Linked DNA regions of Xenopus tropicalis. The protein of the gene in region 2 binds, or shares a complex with, the protein of the main gene of each other region. Links are inferred from orthologs where the notes say so. Each region holds a gene or a part of one and is shown on either strand. Other genes may lie near its edges.

The links. The genes of interacting proteins can lie anywhere in the genome.
Region 1: tox4 (region 2) and wdr82 share a complex: the UniProt entries of both Homo sapiens proteins name them as parts of the PNUTS-PP1 phosphatase complex. The link is inferred for Xenopus tropicalis from reciprocal best matches to the Homo sapiens genes TOX4 and WDR82.

The regions. Positions count from the first base shown.
Region 1 is NC_030680.2:128,228,470-128,232,632, forward strand, and holds the start of wdr82 (WD repeat-containing protein 82), read left to right. Parts: upstream 1-1,325; 5' UTR 1,326-1,533; intron 1,534-3,188; 5' UTR 3,189-3,218; coding exon 3,219-3,379; intron 3,380-4,163. UniProt on the Homo sapiens protein: Regulatory component of the SET1/COMPASS complex implicated in the tethering of this complex to transcriptional start sites of active genes.
Region 2 is NC_030677.2:141,986,771-141,990,423, reverse strand, and holds part of tox4 (TOX high mobility group box family member 4), read left to right. Parts: intron 1-1,402; coding exon 1,403-1,471; intron 1,472-1,923; coding exon 1,924-2,166; intron 2,167-2,803; coding exon 2,804-3,064; intron 3,065-3,164; coding exon 3,165-3,392; intron 3,393-3,653. UniProt on the Homo sapiens protein: Transcription factor that modulates cell fate reprogramming from the somatic state to the pluripotent and neuronal fate. In liver, controls the expression of hormone-regulated gluconeogenic genes such as G6PC1 and PCK1.

The DNA of each region.
Region 1 (4,163 bases), on a different chromosome or scaffold from region 2:
CAATATGTATCACTGACAACTAGGGATGCACCGAATCCACTATACTGGGATTCAGTCGAACCCCGAATGCTTTTGTGAAAGATTCTGCCAAATACTGAACCAAATCCTAATTTGCATATGCAACCTAAGGAACAGAATGCACAAGAAAGAACCATGTGCAGCAAAACATTTTCTACTTCAGCTTATATGTGGCGAAAAGTCCCATGATTTTAAGGATTCTGATTCCGCCCAGGACTGAATCCTGGATTTGGTGCATCCCTACTGACAACAAGCTTTATTTTTCACAAATTACCACACAACCCAGTTTCAGGAAAACCAAAAGTCCAGTGTCGGACTCCTCCAGACTACAGGTGCATGGTGCTCCCCCAGCCCAGCACGACTGACAGATCCAGCCTGCATAGTTAAACTGGTGAGACCTGGACTAGAACTGTATTTGATTTTCTACTGAAGCTGCTTATTCTTCCTGCTTGTTGGAACCCCTAGGCCTGAGGATTTATGGGTTGTTGGAAAGGATGCACCATATCCAGAATTAGGTTTAGGATTCGGCCAAATCCAAGTACCTGGCTGAACCAAATCCTTAAAACTGTGATTTTTTTTGTCAAATGAACATGGAACTTGAACATTTTTAACCACGCGCTGCACGTGCGGTTCTCTCGAATCCTTCCATAGCCTTATGCAAAGTAGGATCCAAATTAGTTTCAGTATTCAGCCGAAACTTTCATTAAAGATTCAGGGTTTGGCCAAATCCCAGAATTTTGGATTCAGCACATCCATTGCTATTGATACCTTGACAAGTGGACAACGTTTCTTTATTAATAATAATTGCAGTAAGTTACACCAATTACCAGTATTTAGTCAAGGCCACAAAGAACACTGTTAAGAACACTGAACACTAGTCAGCCTTTGCGCATGGCTGCATTGTGAGCGTTGTAGCCAACAGCAGCTGGCGCACATTACATTGCCTACCACTGCTTCCCCATGGACAAATAGAGAATGTTGACACTTCAAAAAAAATACTTGAAAGCATGTATTCTCACTCTTTTACTGACTGATTGGGCGAACCCGAGAATGCTTCAGGACATTACGAGTATTCCTCGCACACCAGCCTGGAACGAGTTCTCTTGCCACAATCAACATGGCGACACCGTAAAACCACTTCCGCCATGGCGCCGTTCTGTAGGCGTTATCCTGCAGGACGTCGTTACGCATGACGCCAGAGACGTTTCCGTATTGCGTCTACCCCCTGAATCAGCCAATAGCACATGACGCTTTTCCAGGAGCGGGCTGTCTCCTTCCCGGCTTCAGAAATAACATGGCGGAGACAATGAGAATGTAGGAACGCGCGCGATCCGTATGCCCAAATGTCGCACAACTACCAGGCGCCGATAAGCTGGTGATCGGGAAGGAACGTATAAAGTAGCTTCTCTTAACTTTCGGGAGGGTAAATACTGCCATTCGTAAGGCCCGGGTCCTCCTGAAAACGTGGCTCGACTCGCAAGGAACTGCTCGTTCTGTCTGGCCTATTTCTAAAAGGTTGTTCATATATCTGATACTAGAGCCAGCTTTATATGCCCGCCCATGCTTATTGTACATTGACTAGTATAGCAAGTGCTTTACGGCAGATTAGCAGCCACATTGCCCGGGATCGCAGTAGGAACTGACAAAGTCCACAAGAATGAATATTATTTCCAATCAGCTACTCAGTATGTGTGTTTTACTAGTTTTAGCATTTCAAAGGAGGTGGTCCATGCCTTTCAGCATTCAGGGGGGGCGTTTGCACTAAGCCCCCAGCACTATAGGGCTCTGTTAGGACATTAATTTTGATAAAACCTTTAATATATGTTTCATCTTTTAAGGAATTCTATATATTGAAAACATTTTACATCAGAGATGTCCAGTCTCTGCCTTTCAGCTGCTGTTTAACTGCAGTCATGGTAGATGAGGGTTGCAGTTCATGAATTGGAGAATCACTACTAGTTGGAACACCAGAATTTCTTCAGTGATCAGGGCTCCCATTCCATCTATAAAGGGCAGTATTCCCCCATTTCCAGTTTGTTGGAACGTAAGCAAGTAATCCCGCCCATACACAAACCTAAATGGTGGTAAAGTTAGAGGTGATCCTTGCTCCTTCTGCTTTGGGTGCTTAACATTTGGCTAAACCATTTTATTCTCGCCTACAGTCCAGTATCTAGACCTCTGCCTTTTAAGACAAACACCGTTATGCCGTCAAGTATAAACACATTTTCTGTTTTCCGCTGAGTATACACATGAACCTCTGACATCACATGAAAGCTTGTTGAATTCCGCTGCACATTTAATGTAACTTTAATTATATTGCTGTATGTAGGCAGGCCTGGACTGTTAATCTGTGGATTTTTGCAAATGCCAGAGGGGCTGCTGTAAGTTACTATAGGCAGTCACCATTCAGTGAGCTGGTTGGGGACTGTTTGGGCCTATTTTGAGTCCCAGACTAGACCAGTATTTAGAAGTTCAGACTAATCTGTGGGAATCCATGCACTGCTTAATTAAACATTTGCATAAACAGAATTTTCTTGAGTAAAGGGGTCTGTGATAGCAGTTAAATGCTGTGAGAAATTGACCTATTAGGGTTAGGTGCTAGGAGCTTGAAGCTCTTTATGGGGTCATAATGATTATATGTATTGTGGTCTTTTGGGTATATAGAATGTGTTTTCCCACATTATTGACCTAGACTGCTTATTCTTCCTGCACAAGCCCATATTAAATGCCATGCAGAGGCTGTACAGACAGTGACTAGGGCAATATTCTAATATCATTAAAACTCTATGGGGAAATCTAGATGTGGCATTGTCTATTAGACCAGGAATCGGTAACTCATCTGCCTTAGAGATGCTGAACTGCAACTTCCAGTGTCCAGTCAAATGCTGTTGGGGTACTAGTGGTCTTTTGATAGACTCAGATTGCTTTTTAATGATGTACAAAGGCCAGTTTTTAACCATAAGACTAATCCAGAGGTCTGATGTAACTGGGAAATGAGCACTTACTTACTAACCCCCCTCATGTTCTTATGCACTACTGCAGAATATAGGATTTTGTCCCGATTTGAACAGTTTATATATAAGTGCCCACTTAATTATGTCCTAACAGCCATCTGGTTTTTTTTTTCTAGTTTCAAATTTCTTAACCATTCATCATTTCCCTTTTTGCAGGGGCCTGCTGTCCCAGCACATTGGGTCATCATGAAGCTCACCGATAATGTGCTCCGAAGTTTCCGTGTGGCAAAGGTCTTCCGGGAAAACTCTGATAAAATAAATTGCTTTGACTTTAGTCCAACTGGTGAAACAGTCATATCCAGCAGCGACGATGATTCAATTGTGCTTTATGATTGCCAGGAGGGGAAGTAAGTACATATGTGATATTTAAAATACCTTTTTATGTTGGGAACTAATGTCAGCAAACATATTTACCTGACTGAAGAGCTCACCCCTAAATGCTGTGTTTTCACTTTTGACTAATAAATCACAGGAGAACACCCCCCTTGAAAATATTTCCATGTGCTGGTCCTGTTTTGTATAGACACTGTTAAGGGTATCGTTCTCTTCCAGTACTGTAGCACAGGTAGACGAGACAGGGTATGCCTGCAGACATGGAAATTAGGGTACATGTTCACACTGGTTGGACAGCTCTGCCCTAACAAAACATAGGCTGAAAATGTCAGTAGTAAAGCACAGTAAAGCTGTATTGATTCACATTTACAGCAGCCCTATGCATAGTATGTTACACCCCAGTGATCCCCTCTGTACGTGCTCTTTTTTGTTCCACCCCTGTGAATAAGAATGCTATGATTGGCACATACACACATTGCGTAGTAAGCATAGAGTCAGTGTGTCAGTGATCCCCAACCAGTGGCTCGGGGCAACATGTTGCTCCCCAACCCCTGGGATGTTGCTCTCAGTGCCCCCAAACCAGGTAGTTATTTTGGAATTCCTGGCTTGGGGCAAGTTTTGGTTGAATAAAAACAAGATTTGCTACCAAATAAAGCCTCCTGTAAGCTGATAGTGTGCATAGAGTCTACCTAATAGCCAATCTTAGCCCTTATTTGGCATCTCCATGAACTTTTATGATGCTTGTGTTGTCTCTAAGTTTTTATACATTTGGCTGTGGCTCACGAGTAAGAAAGTTTG
Region 2 (3,653 bases):
GCACAAAGTTTCTTCTAAAAATCCTTTAGGGTAAGGACCCATGGAGCGGTTTCGTCGCCTGACTTCTATTGTTGCTGGTGGAAAGCTATTTCAGAGAGGATTGTTGCCCATGATAGCAGAGATCTATCACAGGCGACTGAACCTCTGTGGGTTCTTACCCTAAGGTTGAGGTTAATTTACCCAAAATGTTCTGTATGGACAGCGTTTATGTCATGGTACTATAGAACTGCAGGCTGCAGGCAGATAAGGATGATAAAGGAATACTGTCATGGGAAAACATGTTTTTTTTCAAAATGCATCTGTTAATAGAGCTTCTCCAGCAGAATCCTGCATTGAAATCCGTTTTTCAAAAACACAAACTTTTTTTATATTTAATTTTTAAGTTTTACATTGGGCTAGCCATATTCTTCATTTCCCAGAGTGCCACAGCCATGTGACCTGTGCTCTGATAAACTTCAGTCACACTTTACTGCTTAGCTGCTAGTTGGAGTGATATAACCCCCCTCCCAGCAGCCGATCAACAGAAAAATGGGAAGGTAGTAAGATAGCAGCTCCCAGTAGATATCAGAGTAGCACTCAATAGTTAGAAATACAAGTCTGGCTTGGGACTCCTCCAGTTACATGGGAGTAGGAGAAACAATAGGTTATCTGAAAGCAGTTCTAATGTGTAGCGCTGGCTCCTTCTGAAAACTCAGACTCAGGCACAATGCACTGAGATGACTGCCTACATGCCTATATTACAACTAGAAAAAAATACATTTGTTGGTTCAAGAATAACATTTTAAATGATAGTGAATTATTTGCTATGTAAAATTATTTTATTTTAATTTAAAAATAAAAAAGTACCATACCATAAAAATCATGACAAAATCCCTTTAAGCTTAGTCATTCTTTGCTCTGTAAGGTTGGTTTGTATAGGTCTACATTTACCCTCACAAAAGCCGGAGTAGCTGGATGCAAATTTGGCACATAATAAGGACTGCAGTTCACTCCTGTAGGAATGTGGAGGAAGTGCCACGGAATGTAAAAATTCAGCTGGATCTGAGACTGGCAGGGCAGGAATGCCTGGCATACATCTTGCAAAGATAAGAAGGCATATACAAAGCTGCATCTTTATCATGAACGGAGGAGACATTACAGATGAGAGAGTGCTGCTTGATCTTTTGTATATTCTTTGTTGTAATACCTTGTACTTTTATTGTGCAAACTGCATCTTATTTCAGGTACCAAGAAGGGTAGGACATGACATGCTGTTAACAGGTGCCCATTGTATTTTACAGCTTTCAAAAATGTTTATATAGAACTATGAAAAAGGTTCAGTTGCACAGAAGGTTTGGAATAGGCACATACTTTAAAAATCCTTTATTTTCTCCTTATTATGTTTTCTCTTTCTGACTTGCAGTTTCCGGGGAGCAGCGACAATTACCTTACAATCACAGGGCCAGGACACCCTTTTCTTACAGGGACAGAGGTATGTGAAATGATGTAGGATAAAGTCTACTGAATGGTGTTGACCTTGTTGGAATTTGCAGAAGGAACAATGTTGTAAGCTTTATGATTTGATCAAATAGGTATAAGCATATAAATATGAGGATTTTCACAAGAATTCCAAAAGATTGGTTTCTGATTTTGTCCCAGTGCCGTTGCTAACACAGCAAGAAAAATAGGCAATTATTTAACTGGTGTATCTCAAATGTACATTTTTAGGAAGATTAGAGATGTTCTGCTTTGTAATGCCTGACTGTTGGACCCTCCTTGCATTTTCATACCCTAAATCTAGTTAGTTTGCAGCATTTGCAGACCTGCAAGATGAAACAATATCTTTCTGCTAGTGAAATTTTACTCCGTTAACTCTTTGTCCATCTTTGAAACATAACCCATTTTGTCGGCTCGCAATTATTTTTTTAAATTATCTCTTTGCAGACTTTTCACACACCCAGCCTTGGGGATGAGGAGTTTGAGATTCCACCCATCTCTCTGGATTCTGATCCCTCCTTGGCTGTATCTGATGTAGTTGGTCACTTTGATGACCTTGGAGACCCTTCTGGAGTGCAGGATGAGGGTTTTGCTACACAATATGGTGTACAGACTTTGGACATGCCGGTTGAGATGACCCATGAAGTGATGGACCAAACTGGAGGGCTCCTTGGAGCTGGATTGGCTATGGTAAGGGTTTCCTGTCATTGCGCCAAATAAATTAACTAGAGAGGGGCACATTTACTCATGTAGATGCAAAACTACACCTGAGGACTAACTGATATCTTCACAAGCAAAAGGTTTAACTGCAAGGTTACACTATTACTAAGCTTGCCCTAAACAGTACTTATTTATTCATGAGGTGATATGGTGGTATTCTGTCTTAATAAGCTTAGGTATGCTACAGATATCACTGGAGGGAGTAATCTTGAGAGAGTTGTTTTCATGTTGTTTTAATTTTATTAGAGAGAGTTATATTTCCTTTGCAGTAATAGATATCTAACATATTGTTGCAACTGTTTGCACATTTTTTCTTAAAGCTCTATATTTTTATCCTCAAGCAGGTGGATTTTAATTTTTTTTTTAAAACAAGCAACTTTTTTCAACTTTTATTTCCTGCCCTCATTTTAGTTCTTTTTATTGCTTCACCAAAGGCTAAATTTAAATTGTTTAGTACAGTGTAAGGTGGCACTAATATCAGATTCCTCTTGGGAGTAAAACATGTGTACTCTCTCCCAGCTGTTACAGAACCTTGCTGCAAGCATAAGGTAAAACTAAAATTATGATGGTTAACAAATTTTTACATGTTATTCTGTTTTGCATACAGGACTTGGATCATCCCATAGTCACACCCTACAGTGCAAATCCTCCTGTCACCATAGATGTATCAATGACAGACATGTCATCTGGGATTCTGGGACACAGTCAGCTTACCACTATTGATCAATCAGAGCTGAGCTCCCAACTTGGTCTGAGCCTTGGTGGAGGGGCTATCCTGCATCCTGTCCAGTCTCCTGAGGACCATCTTTCCCCCACCCCATCACCAACAAGTTCTTTGCATGATGAAGATATGGAAGACTTCAGAAGGGTTAGCAGAAATTCACAATTCATATTTGTTGCTTGTGTTCTATCTGTATTAACTGTATTTCTTGTTTAGCATGATGTTTTAATAAACTTATGTTCCACAGATAACAGCCCCTAAAAACATAATTGTGGAGCAAGCCAAGAAGCCAAAAACTCCCAAGAAGAAAAAAAAGAAAGACCCAAATGAGCCACAGAAACCACTGTCTGCATATGCTCTGTTTTTCCGTGACACGCAAGCTGCCATCAAGGGGCAAAACCCCAATGCTACCTTCGGGGAGGTGTCAAAAATTGTGGCATCTATGTGGGACAGTCTAGGAGAGGAGCAAAAACAGGTGACTTGGTCGCTTCATTGATTTTTACAATGCATTGCTGTGTGTTTGTTCTAAAACTGCTTTAAAGGAACAGTAACACCAAAAAATGAAAGAGCTTTAAAGTAATAAAAATATAATGCACTGTTGCCCTGCACAGTGTAGCTGCTGTGTAGCCCCGGGGGCAGCCATTCAAGCTGGAAAAAAGGAGAAAAGGCACAGGTTACATAGCAGATAACAGATAAAACACCATTGTATTCTACAGAACTTATCTGTTATCTGCTT